4 linked regions of the Schizosaccharomyces pombe genome follow. Changing the gene in region 2 together with the main gene of any one other region gives a genetic interaction. Each region holds a gene or a part of one and is shown on either strand. Other genes may lie near its edges.

Region 1 (3,599 bases), on a different chromosome or scaffold from region 2:
ATAAAAAAACCACAACATAAACACAAGTTCTAATTTGTTCATGTTTTAAAGGCAACTTTTAGGAATAACGCATGCCGATTTCATTAAAGATAAACAGCCTAAAGTTACCTAAAAACCGAAGAGGCAGGCTTTAAGATACGCGTAAAGAATATTAGTTTTGTTCCAAAAACCCAATTAAAATTTTTATGAAAGTAAACAACACGAGAATAGGTATAGATGTGAATTAAAGAAAATGAAACAAAACAAAGGACAAGGAAGTATGTCTCAAAGACTATTGCTTAAAAATAATAACTGTTTGAATAAGTTCGATAGCCAAGGCGGTTTAATTCTTCGCAATTAGGTAAACGCAATTCTTTAGCCTTCTTCAGTGCCTCTTTATCAGGAAAGAACCATCCTTGAGCTCTTCGAATTTCGTCTTCTTTAATTTGTTGCTCGCGCAAACAAGCATTATGGACGTTTTGAGTATACGTATGCTCGACTTTTTCGTTGAGTCTTCTTATATCTCTTGAACTTAGCTTATCCAAATCCTTTTGGCTCATATAGTATGGAATGTTATGCTTGGCAGTAGTACGAGGAACAGTGTATTTATAGTTTTGTTGAAATGAATAGCGCGTATTAACCGACGTACTATCTGACCAACTAAAGTTGGACAAAAAGGCAAAAAGGATTACCACTATCAAAGGTAGCAACTGATAAAATATGCTCTTTGGGGGCATGTCCTGGGCCTGCTGACGACGTGCAAAATTCCTTGGACGGCCGCCAAACTGATGAACTCGAATGCCAGGTCCACCACCGAAGAAAAATGTTCCTGGACCTGAAAAGAACTGGTCACCAAAGAAAGAATTGAACAAATCTTCGGGAGACATATTCGCTTGAGGATAAGCAGAAAATCCAGGATGGCCTCCTGCGTTACTACTAAAAGAGCTGCTCGCAGCAGAGGCGCGAGATTCAGGATCCATTCCTGTACGGTCGTAGTGTGCTCGTAGATTAGGGTCTGATAAAACCTGAAAGGCTTTTGAAACCACTATAAAAAAGTTAGGATACAAAAAAAAACCTTAAAAATTATTAGCTAAAAAATGAAGACGTACTTTTAAATGCTTCGTCAGCACTAGGTGCGTGATTTTTGTCTGGATGGAGCTGTAATGCTAATTTTTTATAAGACTTTTTGATTTCTGTATCAGTGCAGGTTTTCTTTAAATCCAATATTTCATAGTACTGGTGATTTTTGTACTTTATGATTTTCTGGACCAACAAATGTTGTTCGCTTGTCCACTTCTGTTTCTTTTCACCAGCAGAGCTATTCCCATTTTCCCGCACCGACTGTTTTTCAGAAAAAAAGTTACTCTTGTTTTCTTGCTTAGGAGTTGCCTGAGGATTTGGAGAACCTGTAAGCTTTTGCTTTTCTATTTGTTTCACAAAATCTTCGCCCTCAGTGGTAGCATGAATTCGCAAAGATTTATTAGCAAATTTTAAAGCCTTATCATATTCTCCGGCATTTAAATACTTTCTTGCAAGTCCAATGCATCTACACGTAACATGTGTTAGTAATAAAATCTCACGCAATCCTCATTATTCGTACCTAAGGGCTTCTTCTCTACTAGATTCCATTTTGGTGATATGAAAGAAGGAAATTAAGTCCAAGTTTGATGAGAGAACCAAAGTTTCAAGTGCCTTCAATCTCTGCCAACTTTGTACTTGGATGGATCGATGCTACCAGAAACCCTTTAAACCAAGTAACATATCGAAGGTCAAGTGGCTTAAGTAACATGCACTTTTGAATCAATCCAAACACCAAAAACAGGAATAAAAGGGAAAACTAATTGATATATTTAAAATAATTCAAAAAGAGCATTTTTTGGTTTTGGTTGTTTGCCAAGCGAAATAATTAGAGTAATTGGAAAAGTTAAGTGTTTTTCATGTTTTTATGTTTCTTTCGGTTTCAAAGTGGTAAATCAGAAACTTAATAATAGAATGAGCAACAAAAGTGCATGGCAACCTCAGTTTGATGAAATTCACTCATCCGTTCAAGAAGCAGAAGGGTTTTTACAGTCTAGCAACGATGTACAGAAAGCTATAGACGAGGTGCATTATCCTGACAGCCTCAATGACTTGTCGGAAATATCAAAAAATTTGTATATTAGTAGTTGGAAAACGGCGTCAGAGCTAGTGTCTACTTCAGACAAAGGGATCGATTATACATTAAGCGCTATGAGTATTAATCCCAATTTGTCGGTTCCTGAACAACAACACCTTTGGTTGCAAATTGAAGACTCTAGTTCTCAAAATATTCTGCAATACTTCGAAAAGTCAAATAAATTCATCGCTTTTGCACTATCTAAAAATGCCAAAGTTTTGGTTCACTGCTTTGCGGGCATATCAAGGTCCGTAACCTTAGTGGCTGCATACTTGATGAAGGAAAACAATTGGAATACTGAGGAAGCACTCTCCCATATTAATGAAAGGCGCTCTGGAATATCTCCTAATGCTAATTTTCTTCGTCAACTTCGCGTATACTTTGAGTGTAATTACCAACTTGATCGAAGTTTGCGCCCATACCGCCAATGGCTGTTCAGAAGATATGGTGATTTCGCGGTGTTGAATACTAGGGTACCATCTGAAGTCGCTTACGCTGAGACTGTCCGTGCCCGTGCAGGACAATTAGAGCTTCGCTGTAAAAAATGTCGGTTTGTCCTTGCCAGCTCTGATTATCTGGTATCGCATGAACCGAAAGATGAAAATAATTATTCTCATACAAGATGTACTCATTACTTTTTGGAACCTATTCGCTGGATGCAGCCAGAATTGGAGTTGGGAAATTTGGAAGGTCGATTTGATTGTCCAAAATGCAATTCTAAAATTGGTTCTTATAAATGGCAAGGTTTACAATGCAGTTGTCTTCAATGGGTTTGTCCAGCTTTAAGTATTTTACAGTCGCGTGTAGACGCTGTTAGGAAACTCGGTTGATTTTTTTTTCTGCGTGTGTGAATCATCCACTTGCTTCAAAGTTAATGTATATTAGGAAGATCGCTCTAGGTTTTCAAATCATCTATGTTTATTACAAAAAAATGGTTTATCTTAAAACATTGGTTGCTTTTCCAGAGTTGTCGATGAGATCTTGTAATTAAAGTACTAACCAGTTCTGAATACTTATTTTTTAATAAAAACTCTATACTATCATTGGCCTGAGAAAAGTATTTCCATCTGTTCAATGGCAAAGTCTAAGGAATTCTTCTAATCTAATTATCACTTTATGGAGGTATTGCTTACTTTTGAAGATGACTAATATTGCCATAAAATTTCCTAATATTATCATAACGAATTCATGGTAAAGACGTCTTACCCTTACCTTCCGTTGGTTTATAACAGTATTCAACTTCTTCATTACCTATATACACGAAGTATTAAAACTAGAATGGCACCTATTTCAAAGGTCTTTGATTACCTGGTAATTGGTGGTGGAAGTGGTAAGTACAATTCGATACTTTCGGGATTTGATGGGTTAACATTTATGAATATTAGGCGGTTTGGCTTCGGCTCGTCGTGCTGCCAAACATGGAGCCAAGGTTGCTTTAATTGAGGCATCTGGGCGCCTTGGAGGC
Region 2 (5,641 bases):
TGGTTATCTTGGCACCCTAAGGGCTTGTTCTTAGCCGCCGGTTGTAATGACGGAAGTATATGGATGTGGAGTCTTCCCTCTGGTAAGGTGGTTCAGGTTATGTATGGCCATACGGCACCTGTAAATGCTGGAAAATTCATCCCACCCGGTGTTGGCAAGCGTTTAGCAACCGTAGATGATTCTGGTACATTAATTGTTTGGAACCCGGCTACTGGAGCACCAGAATGCAGAATGTCTAGTGATGATCATCGCTTTGATCCTGGTAATGAAGAAACTGCCGCCGGTTGGACCAGCTTCGACTGTAATGCTGAAGGTAACGTTCTTTTCTTAGGAGGTTCGTCAGGAAAAGTAAAAGTTGTCAACATTAATAGTAGTCATATTCTTGCTTCTTTGGAGGCCCAAACTGAAAGTGTAGAAGCTATCGCACTTTGCACGGCCTTACCTATATGTGCGTGTGCTAGTGTCGATGGTACTGTCGCGCTTTACGATTCTGCATCCCTTAAGTTTAGAAAATCCCTTCCCCATGAACAAGCGGTTATTGATTGTAAGTTTTTACCCAACACTCCATATTTGTTGACTGCATGCGCGGATTGTGTTATTCGAAAATGGGATGTTCGGTCTGGCCAATTACTTGGCGAGTATACAGGCCATCAAGAGCCTATCTTGTGTATGGCTATTACTCCAGATGGTAAACGTGTTGTAACCGGTTCTGATGACACCGAATTACTTGTTTTTGATTGCGAACATTAAAAGTGTTAAAAAGGTTAATTTTTTGAAAAGAAAAAAAAATTATTATTATGGGATAAACGCGTTCGATATTAATTTATATATATTCATGGGGATTAATATTTTTTTTTTAAACTATTGAGTAAACAAGTAATACAAGTAAACTAGTGTTTTATCCAAGAATTATTATTCCTATATAATCTGTAGCAAATCTAATCAAGTATATTTTTATTCTCCATGGTGTTTTTAATTGTACCATTTGGTATTAAGCTGCTTTTTCTTTACCAAAGGCTTTGTTAACAGAACGGCGAGCAGAATGCCAAAAGTGGTCAACATAAGTTGTTTCTTATCAAAATGGCTACTGAGCATGTCATATGGCATACTTGGAGCTGTTCTGGTAAAAAAAACATCAAGTCCGGTTGATAAAACCAACGTCGTACTTTCAAAATTAGTAATACCAGAAGTGATTTGAGATACTCCGTACACGCGCTTGTTGTAAGACAACACCATATCATCGTTCAATGGTATAATGGGTTCGTATGGGATAAAGGACGCATCATTTGCTTTTTCATTAGGTCTAAGGACTGGGCGCATAGGGCTCAAAAGAGCTTGTGGAATCATTGCAACTTGGTTACTTGATAGGCCAAGTAAAACATCTCTCGAGGTGATGCCCTGCGGAGTGTTGGTGACACCCAAAGTCGTAATTTCTCTATCGAATATATATGCTTTAGTGAACGCATAGGGCCTGTAATCATTATGACGAGAATATATTTCGTTGCTGTCGATTTTTTCGTTAGAGTGAGATCCCTCAAAAAGCTCAACTGATATTATCTTGGTAGACAAATTAGGCACATCGCTCTGATAACTATAAACAAGCCAATTCTCGGAGAAGACTCCATAAACTTTGTCGAACAATATTATTCCTTGGTGTTTATTCTGATACACTATAGAACCGGTAACGGAGTCCATTACATAGACGACTAAATCGTTTTTGCATTTTGAAAATAACGCAAATAAATTGGGATTCAAATATTTGTACATTACTTCACGGTTTTGCAAAACACGACCGAAAGAAGCCACTATTTCGTGAGGATTACGACGTATAGAAGCAATAACTATTTCACCCTCGGCTAGATTGTACGACCATTGAACATCCATTGTAAGGTCAGCAGAAATACTGAACCCTTCGACTTTGGTTTCAGAAGTGTAAACAAAAATAGAATTGGCTTCTTGAGAAATTTTTTCGAATATTGAGTTATCACCGGTCAAGGGTAAAACCTTATAATCTTTTACGGCAAATATTTGATTAGGTAAGTTTTTGGAGATATTATCAACGTAGTAAAACTCGTCAGCTTTAAAGTCTCTAGATTTTTGAGATATCACGGACCCATCCGATGCATTCAAAATATAAAAGCTAAAAGCATCATTCCACTGGTGCACAAAAGCAAATTTTGGATCTTCGTCTGAAATATCCAATAGCCAAGATTCAACACTTTCCGGGTTAATATTAAAATCATAGCGCCATAATATCCTGTGCACTTGTTTAGGGTCGCTGGATAAACAAAATATAGATCCTGTTGATGTTGGTATAATAATTTTCGTGGTAAAAGCATCATCCAATACTGAGGATGAAGTAAAACCATGAGGATGTTTCAAGAAATCTATGAGTTGATTAAAATGACGGTACCATCGATTTAAGAAAGAGACCGATGAATTTTCCTCATCTTGAATGGATTTCTGGTAGCTTGTCAATAAAGTTGTTGGAAGAATAGAGGGATTGATAGCATATGCCAATGCTTCTTCCCGCTTCCAAACTAATTCGGTATTCGAAAATGAAAAGAAAGTTCCGTCGTCCAAAATTACAATTGCGGAAATTTCTCCCTCAGCAAATGTAAATAAACGGAATACAGGTCTAGAAAGCTGGTTGGGAATGGTAATTACTGTGGCTGGTGCGAATTTAATTTGATTAGCCACTGCAAACACTCGAGAAAATGTTTGGTTATCTTCCATATGGATATATCCTAGAGCTTCGGTGTCCTCATGTATATACTCATCAATCAAAACAAATTCGCTATCAATGATAACAAAGAGGTAAGTGACTGGGGTGGATTGAGAATCGACTGTAATTGAATAGCCATGTCTCTTACCAGGTATACTAGACCATTCGAATGTTTTATATTCATCTATAAGCAGTTGAGAAATATCTGCCATAGAAACATGGATACCGTAAATAACACCGTTGGAAGAGTAAATAATAACATCTTTCTCTGTGACTAATAATTGTGCGTTTTCAGGAACATTAAGAACAGTTTCAGGTCCATAAACAGCATAATTGTGATCTAAAGCTTGTAGAACAAATTGACCATCCCTCTTGAACAAGACGTAGTTTTTCTCAGCATAAGTCAAAAAGGAAATAGCATCTAATTGTAAATCCCTTTCAATTGAAATAGAAAATGAAGCTTGCAAATCCAACTCTATGAACTTGCGAGTATGAGGATTGAGGTAAACAAAACCTTTATTAACCTCAAATAATTTACCTTTTCCATCAGCGAGCTCAATTTTTCTGTCCAAAATACCATTTTTGGAATTCCAAATATACAAATAATCTTTGTCCACGGTGATAATAAAGTTAGTGACTGGGTTATAGTTGAGTTGACTAGTTTCAGGTGCAATGGATTGGCGCCAAATCACATCTCCGTTTGATGCATTTAATTTCGCCAATAAGCCTTTCTGAGAAACGGCATACAGATATTCATTTTTGGTGTCATAAACTAGGTCATTAACTTTACCAAGTAGAGAAATTTCGAAATCGTTTTTCCCTGCTTCATCTATTAAAACACTGGCAGCTCTATAGATGTTTAAAAACAAAGCAGTAAGAAAGAGAGGCCACAGAGGCCGTAACATCGTAACTGATATGAAAAGATGGTATGTAGTCCAGTACCTGTATAGTTCCTATTGTTAATGCAAGGTATCAAATATACTGAGGAGTAGCGAACTACAACACAGTTTACTGAAGTGCGTCCCAAGAATATGCTGTTATAGCGATGCTTTTCGCAATAAATACACATTGGGTACTGTAAACTAAACAATATGGTTTGAAAGCGTATAGCAATGTCGCAGCAAGATGAATGATTGAAAAATTTAGATATTTAAAAAGAATAGTCAGTTAATTAAAAATTTGCTGTGAAACACCTGTACATTCTCTACGTTTAGCAAACGTACTAAATGCAAACAAAATGTCTATAATCACATTTTTTACTATTTATCTGCTAATTTGAAGTAGTTCATATAAAAGGCAAAAGCTAGCTAACTTCCTAATTTCATGTAGTTGATTCTATTGCAATTTTATATGTACTTGAAGTGATAACTGTATTCCTTATTTTTCGTTAAGCTAATTTAACGAATATATTGATTGCTAAGTTTACAGTCGGCTTCATATTCGCTGCTAACCGTGTTAAACCTTTACCTCCCTTCTCTTGATTCAATCATTCACTATTAAATATAAGCATTATGTCGGTTTATACAATTGCAGGTCGTCAATTCCAAGCTCATCAAGTATGTATTTTTCAAATTCCGTACACCTAACAATGAACATAGTTGAGTTTAGCTGTTCTCGGTTCAGTATTTGTTGGTCCTGTGATCTATAGTAAATTGTTTAAAAGAAATAAGCCACTTAGCGCAAAGGATGTTCCTCCTTTGAATGCCAAAAGCAAAGAAGAAGAAGAATTCATTTTGTAAGTAAAGCTATTGCTCTATAGCGAGTGTTTGGAATATATTTACTAATACTACTTTATAGGAAATACATTGAAGAACATAAGTAGGAAATCCTTGATTACCGAACGGACGATTAGTGAGTGAAAAATTATCTTTTCATTAGTAATGAAATATCTCTATGTCATTAGGTAATTTTAATGTACACGTTGAGCAAATTTGAAGATGAATGAATACAATATAGCCCTGCAACATACCCATCAAAATTGCAATTAATTAATTGCTGTATAACTTAAAACTTTGTATTACCTCGTGTGATGGATGTAAGTATTTATTAATTAACAATAACATTGGGCTTCCAAATGTGTAATTCATTGTCATCAGCAACCGAAGCAATACATTGTGCCTCAAACGGATCAAAGTCCACTTCATTCACCGTACCTTTATGACCTGCATGCACAAACTCCAAAGGATTAGCTTTGTTAAAATTCCACACATAGCAATACTCTTGGCAGGCACTAACAATCCGACCAGAGTGTCTCCAGCTCCATGACAAACTGGTGCCTCCTAGAGTTAGTCTAGAAGGCACTTTTAATCTATTATCTGATAAGTCTTCAGAAGTGTTAAAAACCGATTTATTTAAGTTCCGAAGGTCCCAAAGCTGTAAATCTTGCTCAGACCCCAAAGCAAACAAAGTCGCAATTGAAGGATTATGTCTGACGCTAAAAAGGGGATTTGAAGCTTTAACTGTTTTCGAACATGTTTGTTGAAGTCGGTTATCACAAATAAAGGCAATTCCATTATCATTTACAGCAATATATAAGTTGGTGTGGTGCGGATGATATTCAACATCATTAACCGGAGAATCATCATAATGAAAATCCTTTACGGGAGTTAAGCACCTCGTATCACGGCTAAAATTATTTAGATCCCATTCTAAAATTTTCGAATCATTAGCAGCTGTTACAAGTCGGCAATTTTGCTGACGATTCCAAGATAGTCCAAACCCTTCTTTTTTGTGCCCAATCAAAGAGATATTTGGTAAAAATTCTTCAGCGGGCATTGAAGTATATTTTGTCCGATCAAATATATATGCATTTCCACAAGAGCTCATAGTAGCTATGATGTTTGGGTTTTGAGGCATGTGTCGAACACGATTTACATCGCCATTATGAAGAATTCGTTGCGAGATTTGGAACTTGCA
Region 3 (4,593 bases), on a different chromosome or scaffold from region 2:
GAAGGAGAGGTAAAATATTCAGACTTTTTTTGTTTGGAAATCGTTAAACAAAACATGAACGATTTAACAATAAATCCAAAATAATTAACTACGCAAACAACCATTAATTTGAGAGTAAAGTTCATACAAGAACTGAGACTCAAGGTACGCAGAAGTTCAAATAGCAAAAATACTTACTGAAGATACCGGTTTCATTATAGAGGGCTCTTGAGAAATTTCCGTTGAGCTGTTCATTGACATGATTGTATTAAAGCCACATCCGTTAGGAGTAATAAAAAGAAATCAGAATGAAACTCGTCAGTAATATTTAAAAAAAAGGTACTAAAATATTGTTTTGGTTTCCTAAGGAAAGCGCACTGGAGTAGCTCGATATTCTTGCAGTTATGAATCGTAACGTAATTGCGCTATCCAAAATATACCGTACAAGTTGCACAAATTAACCCTTCTATTTACTTAATTTTTTGCTAAATGAATTAGTAATGCAGCAATCTCATTTACTTCATAATGTCTTCAATTACTTACTGCTGATAGTTGATAGAGCACGAAAACAATGCCAGTTTGTTAATGTTAATTTATTACATATCGGTTGTATGCTGATGTTGCTGCATGCTGAATTTTAACACAGAGCGCATCCCTCTAAACTTCTCGACTATCATCAAGTCAGTCGTGAAGCTTTCAACTGAATAAACCTATGCAACATAATTTCAGCTTAAAAGCTATTAATTAGCTGATCTTAAGTAATACAAAGTAATATATCAAATCGTAACATCCAATTCTTCCCGTATGGTTTGTCTTATTTTTAATAATAATATCCTTATGATAAAACATCTACATGTGATATAAATTATGCAGAATAATAAGTGTAAATGGAACAGAAGCCATCAAATTACAGCAGCTCACTCAACTTTTATATCATTCTGTTAAGGTCCAAAGGTGACGAATGAGAAGAGTGATTAGTATCGTTAATTTCGGAAGTTTGGTTTTGAAGATAAGAAGGATCATGATGAACGACTGTCGAAGACTCTACCAAAGTAGGCGAATTCTGAATTTCTTTGGTTGTAGCCAATGTTTTAGTGGAAAAGGATGAAGAAGTTAGTGAATGGGCATGCCTGTGTAAAATTGAACTGCTTGGTCTCTCATGAATTGTTGCACGCGAGCGAGATGGAGCCAAAATGCGCAAGTTTGAAGGAGGGCGTTGATTTATTGACGAAGGAGGGCGACGGTTGATTGATGAAGAAGGACGAACGATATTAGCCGCTTTAGTACGAACATTGCCTGTAGTTGTCCTCGAAGAGAGAGTGGATTGAATGCGAGAAGGTGAACGAACACCTAAAGAAGTACCTGGACGAACGATTTTAGCTGATGAATTTTTCACATTAACTTCTCTCTGTTCTAATCTTGAGGGAGTACGCGCCTGCGCGTTACGTGAAACAGGTCGTACAGCTAATGAAGAAGCTACCCGAACAGTTGAGTTAGAAGTGGCAGAGACGTTGGGTCTTTGAGTATTGGACGCAGAGTTTTCTCTGAAGATTCTGGATCCCGGTCGGACAGTCTGAGCTGCACTTACAGGACGCACGATCTTGGTCGATGCGTTGACTTTTACTTTGGAAGGACTAGTAGAATTCTTTGAGATACTTCCGGAAGCATTTGTTACGTTAACTCTAGATAATGGACGGGTGGTGGAAGTCCTTGTGGGTGGACGAACGACAGAAGAATTTCCGAGAGAACGAACAGAAATTCGAGGAGAAGCTGAAGGCTTGTCGTTAGAGCCAGGAGATTTGACGACGGGGCTATCATCCGACTTTGCATTGAAGCCGACCTTTGGTGAGCGCACATTCGGGCCATTACCAAGGCGTGATGGTGAACGAACTGCCATTGAAGATTTCGCTCTCGGAATAGCAGCAATTCTAGCATTTGAGGACATTCGGGCGATAGACGACGTTGAAGGTTTTGTAATAGTAGCGACATGTTTAGAGGTCGTTACAGAAGGAGATTCCTTGGAAGAAATTGAATTCTCATGTAGTGATGCCTCTTTGGGAATGCGAGGTGCGTTATTTGATAACCTGGCCAAACTAGTCGAGGGTCGAAGACGTTGAGAGGGATTACGAATATTCCGAGCTTTGGCTCGTACATTATTAGTCTTTGAAGTAGGATTAGATATTTGGGTATTTCCTAATGACTGGCCTTGGGTAACCCGAGATTGAGAGGTAGGAACTGATGGTGAAGAAATGTTTACTTGCTGTAAAGAGGCACTTAATTTATCAATAGCCGAGGATTCCTCAGTATCCATTACAGAGTTCTCACCTCCATTATGAAGTTGTGAGGTGGTAGAATCCGTGAAAATCGACGTAGAATGCAGTTCCTTGAGAATATTCGATGTTTGCATTTGTAGTTGCTCCAGTCTTTGAAGCATATTAGACTCGGCCTCTGCCAAAGGCTCTTGGCTTGGTGAACCCGGCATTGGCAGAATAAAATTGAATAAGACTCGCAATCAACAACCCTGAATGCACAAAAGAGAAAGCCAAATACACTACACCGTTAGCTGGTATCGCCCAACACTAGGTAGCAATAACAAACTACGTCCTATATTGTTAGTGTATATATAACGAATTCTATTAATCCCCGTAAAACTCTTGCTACCTGATGCAAACAAATAAAATTACCTTCATAAGTGCTGCACTGTTTACATATTTTCTATCCAGCTGACCGATTCTTTTCAATATATGTATTCATTTGACCATAATAATTATCGTTAAATTGTGATTGCTATGAATATACTTTTCCGTTCCCTCCCAGATTTCTGTTCCCGTTGTTTTTCCAAAGCAAATCATTGATGGGAGAGAGCAATGTGAAAATTAAGATGCAAGTGTACAATGAGAATAACATGTACACATTGAGGAAACCCGCTATAACTCTTCTTCCACAGCATCATACCGATTCTACAAATCTCCCGTAGTGGTAAGTACTACGAAAAATGTTATAGTAGAAATATCATTTGAAGAGTTTGTTACCAACTTTTACGACTTTGGTATGTCGTTATTTGAATTAATAAAAGTGATAATGCTTTGTGTGCATTTTTGGGCAACTATCTAGTTTATTTGTTCATTCGGTTCATTCGTCTCCTATGTACCGAGGGAATGTCAAGGAGAGTGTTACTCCCAGTCACTGCTCAAGGTGTGCAAGTTACCTTCGGTTCCTTATTAAATTGACATCAAAGACGGTTTGCAAATGTTACCAGATATGGACGTATATATACATAGAATACCCCAATTAAGACTTTGAAATTCCGTCTTTCACTTTTTAGTCTATATCTATTGTTCAGACTAAACGCAGGCTTAACGCCTTGTCCTACTCCCTTCGCTTCATCTTGTGCTACTCTATTGATGAGTATTTATTAATTTTTCCGCTTTCTTTTGATTAATTCATTCAGCGGTTTGTTTTTGTTTTTCCATCCTTTGTTGTCTTTCATATCGTTTTATTTCGTTCCTTTTTTTTTAACTATCTCAATTGGGATAAGCTTTATTTTTCGTAATTGTAATAAGCTCTAAGAAAACGTTCCCTACTGTTTTACTTTTTTTTATTACTGTTCACTTTCTATTTCCTACTCACGGTTCTCTTGCTTTGCTTCCTTCGATAAAACTAAGCAAGTTTGATCCTTTATTTATTCAATTGTCGGCTTCTAAAACTTCGTCTGTTCGCATAATTTCATATCTCGTTAGGGTAACTTCTTTCGGACGGAACACTAAAGATTTCGTTTACTGATTATTTTCTGTTTACAGTCTGGACTTTATACCCATTTCTAAATAAATTAAACACCCGAAATATCACTACAACCCTATATCCCATTAATCCCTTGGCTATTTGGATTATCAAGCTTATTTATTATTCTCAGGTTTCTCTAATTTTGTGCATAATTCAAGTTTGAAAACATTTCGTGTAATTCAAAAAAAAAGTTTCCCTTTGTTACATATTTGTCGAATTATTTTCTCATTAAAACCTTTAATCCCATCACTTCACCTTTGATTGTGATTTGTTTCCATTTTACTTTTATTTTCTCTTTTTCTTAAAATTTATTACCATGCTTCCACATCAAAATTCCAGTTATACCCGTCAAGGCACTAATGATGCGCAGGCAAATGATATGCGCAGTCCATCGCAACTTCCTACTTCTGTCAACATTGAAGATCCCTCTAAGTTATGTATATCGAGTGAAAAATTAAATACCCCTATGCATAATCGTTCCCGTTCTGGTATTAAGAAACATACTTCTGTCAAGCGTTCTCGCTCCTTCAAACTATTTGATACACTTTTCTTTGGTATTCTAAGGCTCCGTAAGCAACGGATAAGGTCGGTTAAAAAGGTACGATCAATTTCATCTCCTGTCTTAATCAGTACTACTTCTGCCTTGGCTTTGGCTACTATTGAACAACAGCCAGTAATTGGGGAATGTTCGTGATTATTTTGTGCACATGTCAGCATAATTAAATAAATTCATATATAATGCTATCTTTTTGTCCAACTAAATTTTTGATTTTTGATTTTTTTTTTTTTTAATAATTCTGCCGTTCTAATTATTTTTTTTGTTAAGTTAAA
Region 4 (4,641 bases), 1.9 Mb from region 2:
GTGCATTGAGATTGCTCTTTGTACGAGAAACAGATGTGGAGCCAGGAATAGGAATGACCAGACCGTTTCCAGACGCCATTATAAAAAGAAGTGAAAACTCGGGCATAGTCATACCAAACTTTTTAGCAAGTTGCTCGACAGCTTGGAGGAATGGAAGATTTTTAGCAAAAACATCAGGGCTAAATCTGTCCAAATATTCTAAGAATGGGAAAGATTTAGCAAATTCTTTAAGGTCTTCGACAGTCTTAATGCGACCAGTCAAAAGGCCACGACAGAAAGGAGAGTATGCAATAATAGGGATAGATAACTTCCTACAAATATCCATAATACCGTTTGTCTCGATATCACGAGAAAACAAGGAGTATTCGACTTCGACTGCAGCAATGGGGACCACAGCGTGAGCACGTTTGATAGTTTCAGCAGAAACTTCGCTAAGGCCGACACATGAAATCTTTCCAGAGTCCACAAACCCCTTCAATGTCTTCATGGTTGTCTCAATGGGAACATTTGGGTCGACTCGAGCACATTGGAAGAGATCTAGCTTTTTGGTCCCACGTAAATGAGCTATCACATTTTCAACACTCTTTGACACGAAGTCCGGATTTCCATCAGGAACTAGTGTTTTAAAATCCAAACCACCTTTGACAGATAAAAACACCTTATTAGCGTTTTCGGGATATTTTTCAAAATATCTAGCTAATAAATCTAAATTAGAGGTGGGAGGGTCGACACCATAAAATTCACCCGCATCCCAATAATTGGAGCCTTGGGATAAGGCATAATTCATTACTTCAAAGGCTTCTTCATCTGGAGTTTGCTTGGGCTTCCAGGTTAAACCCATAAGACCAAAGCCAATAGGTCCGACTTTAAATCCGCTAACGATAGGCATCTTTTCACAACTTTAATTTAAAAATGCTTAACTCTGTAAATATCAAATGTGTATTCTCAATTTTAAGCGAATAATATTGGAAAAACTAAGCTGCTAGGTATGCAAAGCTTGCTATTTATATGATAACGGTACCGTATGCTGTAAGAATTTCCTAATGGTTCTTTGAGACGATGCTTACTAATTAGTTCTACTGTTAATAATAATGAATCAAACGTAAGTAACACCTACTCTTCGTACCGTAACTAGCTTAAACAGCTTTGTTCTTTATTTTTGGCTTTGCTTTTATAAATTTACTTCTACATTTTTAAACATTGGATCACACGTGTAACATACATTATTGAAATAGACTTGATAGTAAGTATTATGAATTGAACTATGAATGGAAATATTGGAATTAAAAGTAATTACACCAAAACTGAGAACTTACATATTATGTTATTTGAAAATTCGAGAATTTATTAAATGAAAGAGAAGGGAAAATGCTCATGAACTTCAGAATCGCCATTTTTGTTACAATACCAAGGAACATTTATTTATTTACACATTTTTGTTTAATAGTGAGAAGAGGTGTGCTACAGAAATGAAATTTGAGGAAGTATTCAATTAGACTCTCATTTAAAACATATATGAGAATTGATTTTAAACGGTTTCTAACAGCGTTCATGTCGTTCTTTCTCCTATTTTTTGCTCTTGAATTCTCTTTTTCTTACTGACAAAATCGTTAAGATACGCAAATTTGCTATATTAACCTGAACGTCATAATTTGAGCATCTCCAATGGCATTGTTATTACAGATTAACAATAGGTTCGGTATATTGCACTTAGATTATATAGGGTGCAAGGCAGAAGGATGCACTAGTAGTACTCACCTTCTTAAACCCTACAAGGATAGAATTCGTCTTTTCACCGTTATTTCCGATATCTACTACAACATAAAATAATTGTATAAATCCAAGGCTATACTCTTATATCGGTCTGGAAAAGTATCGGCATAGTAAGTATTAAGGAAAATCAATGCCTCCTATACGCCAGGCCGTCTCTTTAGCAGAGAAAAAGGCAATTCGAGATTATTATAACCAATCTGCCCATAGAATTCCTCAAAAGGAAGTGACAGAATGGTTTCGAAAAACGTACAATAAAGATTTATCGCAGTCAACGATTTCCGAAATTCTTTCACCCAAATACAGTTATTTAGATGATGGAAGTGTAAGACTCGGTGATATTAAAAAAATTCGAGCTCCAAAGTTTCCTTTGCTTGACAATGCCGTGTACGAATGGTTGCAACAAAGAGAAGTTGAAGGCCTTCCTATATCAGGGGATATGATCAAACAAGCTGCTACTCGATTTTGGTCGAAAATTCCGGCGTATGCTTCTCTCCCATTACCAGACTTTAGCAATGGTTGGTTGGATAAATTTAGAAGAAGACATTATATCCAGCAAAGTGCGGTAAATCAGGCATTGGAATCCATCAAATTTGAGGTGTTTAGAGAATACCCAGTTCATATTCAAGAGTTTATACGGCCTTATGCCCAAAAAGATATATTTTGCGTTGGAGGGACAAGCCTTTTTTGGAAACTCACTCCTAATAAACAAAACTTGGATTATCAGGAAATCCAGGGAATGAAGCGTGGAAAAGCCAAAGTGTCTTTAATTATGTGTTGCAATGCCGATGGGTCAGAACGACTACCTTTATGGATCGTGGGTTATGCACAAAACCCAAGATCTTTTGAGCAGTGCGGTATTTTCCCTAAAAGTATGAACTTCGAATGGAAGTGGAATGGCCGAGCTTCAATTTCACCAATTATTATGGAGGAATGGCTTCGGTGGTTTGACACACGTATGCAAGGACGCAAGGTCCTATTGATGTTAGAGAGCAATGACACATATCAGTTCGGTGTTGAAAGTGTTCGACGGTTTAAAGGTGGTTTTCAGAACACCTCTGTATTTCGAATTCCAGAAAAAACATTGGACATTAAGTCTCCGTTTGAACAAGGAATAGTCGATACATTTAAAGCGAATTATCGAAGATACTGGTTGCAATACTCCCTTAATCAAATCAACATATTGAGAGATCCTCTAAAAGCCGTTAATGTTTTAAAAGCCATTCGGTGGATGCTTTGGTCTTGGAATTTTGGGGTGAGTGAAAAGACTATTCAAGCATCTTTTCTCCGATCAGGATTATTGGGTCCACATTCCGAGGCCGAAGGACAAGGAATGGAGTCGTATCAAAAGGCCATTATGGAAATTGGTAATCTGATTTCAAGCAAGGGCAGCGAAGCTGTTAAGCAAATTAATGAATACATTAGACCTTCTGAAGAAGATGAAACCAAATTACATCAAGATGCTGTGGATACCGTTGCTGCAGAGTTTCTGGAGGAGAGACGCTTTGAGTCGGATGAGGAAGAAGACGTGGAGCCTCAAATATCAAACGTGGAGGCTGCCATGGCCTTTGAAGTCTTAATAAAATATTTTGAGCAACACGAAAATGGGGATCCCTCGTTTGTTTTAGATTTGTACCGCAGACAAAGAGTGATTGCCCCTAATAATTTAATAGCGTGATCCACTTACGGAAATAAATTGAGAGCGAGTCTTACTAAACCCAATAAGTGCTTCACGTTGGATGATTTCAATCTCCAAAGCAAACAAATTTCCAAAAAAAAAATATAGTGAAACAAAAGTCGACACTCGTACAAAATTACTTTTTTTAATTGAGATTAATGTTTCTGCTTACTTTTGGTTAACTATGGCGGGCGGCTTTGAACCCTTCTCGTTTAATATTCTTTTAAATTCACTTAGTGTGTGTACATATACCTGAACAACAAAACATTTTATAGGATTCTAATGATATTATGAATTATTAATGATTTTTTTTGTATAAACTGTGTCACATTGTGTTTTCCTTTGTTGTATGCAAGACAGAGATATAGAGAAGCAGTGAGAACAATTAATAAATAAAAATCAGTTAGCGCGCAAATGAAAAATAAAGCATTAAGCAATGATGCTTTAATAATTTAATTTAATTTAATTTAATTTAAATGCTATAGATGATGAATGATCATATGGTTTTGTGAGTGAGATGCTGTTTGAGTTGTTGCGCTGGTAAACCACTATTGGAAATGCTAGAAAAATGGGTAGGGGTTTTGATATGACTTTAAGTCCGAATCTGAAAACCGAACCATTAATTTTAATAGCTAGGTAAAAAAGCCACACACAATCAGAGATTTTACCAAAACAAGACATAAAAAAATCACATTATGGATATGAGGCAACTGGAGTGTGGAATTTAAGGAAATATGTTTATATAATTATGAGTTTTCATTGAGCTACAAAACAGAAGATATATTTCATTGAATAATTTCTGTAGTGATGACCCACTTTAAAAAAAAAAAAATTTGAAAGTAGAGTAAACAAAATGGAATATGCCATTTTTAAAATACACACTAGAATGATCCACACTAGCTATGGTGATCTTAAAGTATATATACATATCTTCTTAAATCTTGAAAGTTTTGCTTATCAGATCTTTAACGCGCTCCAGTACGAAAAAATGGCATGCTTAAAACAACAATACAATAATGTGATGAGTAATAATATGGGTTATTAAAAAAGTAAATTGGAGAAACAAAAAAATTAAAACATTGGAAGAGTGTATAGTTCTCACGGTTTTGCGTTTTATGTGTTTGAATTTACAAATTTCAGTGATCTTCGCTATCTTGACAAGTTGCACAATGGAAATTGGCACTGCGACCATG

Evidence for each region.
Region 1: mutations in emc1 (region 2) and SPOM_SPBC17A3.06 together harm fitness less than expected from each alone (positive genetic interaction), as found in Schizosaccharomyces pombe (one large-scale study listed by BioGRID).
Region 3: mutations in emc1 (region 2) and mmb1 together harm fitness more than expected from each alone (negative genetic interaction), as found in Schizosaccharomyces pombe (one large-scale study listed by BioGRID).
Region 4: mutations in emc1 (region 2) and cbh1 together harm fitness more than expected from each alone (negative genetic interaction), as found in Schizosaccharomyces pombe (one large-scale study listed by BioGRID).

What each region holds. Positions count from the first base shown.
Region 1 is NC_003423.3:1,411,084-1,414,682, forward strand, and holds SPOM_SPBC17A3.06 (phosphoprotein phosphatase), read left to right. Parts: upstream 1-1,781; 5' UTR 1,782-1,971; coding exon 1,972-2,964; downstream 2,965-3,599. Other genes in the region: SPOM_SPBC17A3.05C (J domain-containing protein), read right to left, coding at 279-1,024, 1,089-1,525, 1,580-1,608; mitochondrial glutathione reductase Pgr1, read left to right, coding at 3,413-3,464, 3,520-3,599. UniProt on the Schizosaccharomyces pombe protein: May be directly involved in signal transduction and/or cell cycle regulation. It is necessary for maintaining growth rate or spore germination. Could show both activity toward tyrosine-protein phosphate as well as with serine-protein phosphate.
Region 2 is NC_003424.3:2,531,810-2,537,450, reverse strand, and holds emc1 (protein Emc1), read right to left. Parts: upstream 3,666-5,641; 5' UTR 3,631-3,665; coding exon 973-3,630; 3' UTR 796-972; downstream 1-795. Other genes in the region: ribosome biogenesis protein Sqt1, read left to right, coding at 1-750; atp19 (F0-ATPase subunit K), read left to right, coding at 4,237-4,281, 4,324-4,460, 4,523-4,547; CAF assembly factor complex subunit B Pcf3, read right to left, coding at 4,772-5,641. UniProt on the Schizosaccharomyces pombe protein: Part of the endoplasmic reticulum membrane protein complex (EMC) that enables the energy-independent insertion into endoplasmic reticulum membranes of newly synthesized membrane proteins.
Region 3 is NC_003423.3:2,608,131-2,612,723, forward strand, and holds mmb1 (mitochondrial microtubule binder Mmb1), read right to left. Parts: upstream 2,511-4,593; 5' UTR 2,414-2,510; coding exon 908-2,413; 3' UTR 558-907; downstream 1-557. Other genes in the region: BTB/POZ family ubiquitin-type ligase substrate adaptor Btb2, read right to left, coding at 178-240; SPOM_SPBC25B2.08 (uncharacterized protein), read left to right, coding at 4,079-4,456. UniProt on the Schizosaccharomyces pombe protein: Involved in the cell polarity process and in regulation of microtubule growth. Has a role in meiosis. Involved in microtubule dynamics.
Region 4 is NC_003424.3:4,458,032-4,462,672, reverse strand, and holds cbh1 (CENP-B protein 1), read left to right. Parts: upstream 1-1,794; 5' UTR 1,795-1,903; coding exon 1,904-3,448; 3' UTR 3,449-3,753; downstream 3,754-4,641. Other genes in the region: pyridoxal reductase Plr1, read right to left, coding at 1-889. UniProt on the Schizosaccharomyces pombe protein: Binds to centromeric K-type repeat DNA and ARS3002 DNA. The CBH-binding consensus sequence is Py-Pu-A-T-A-T-Py-Pu-T-A.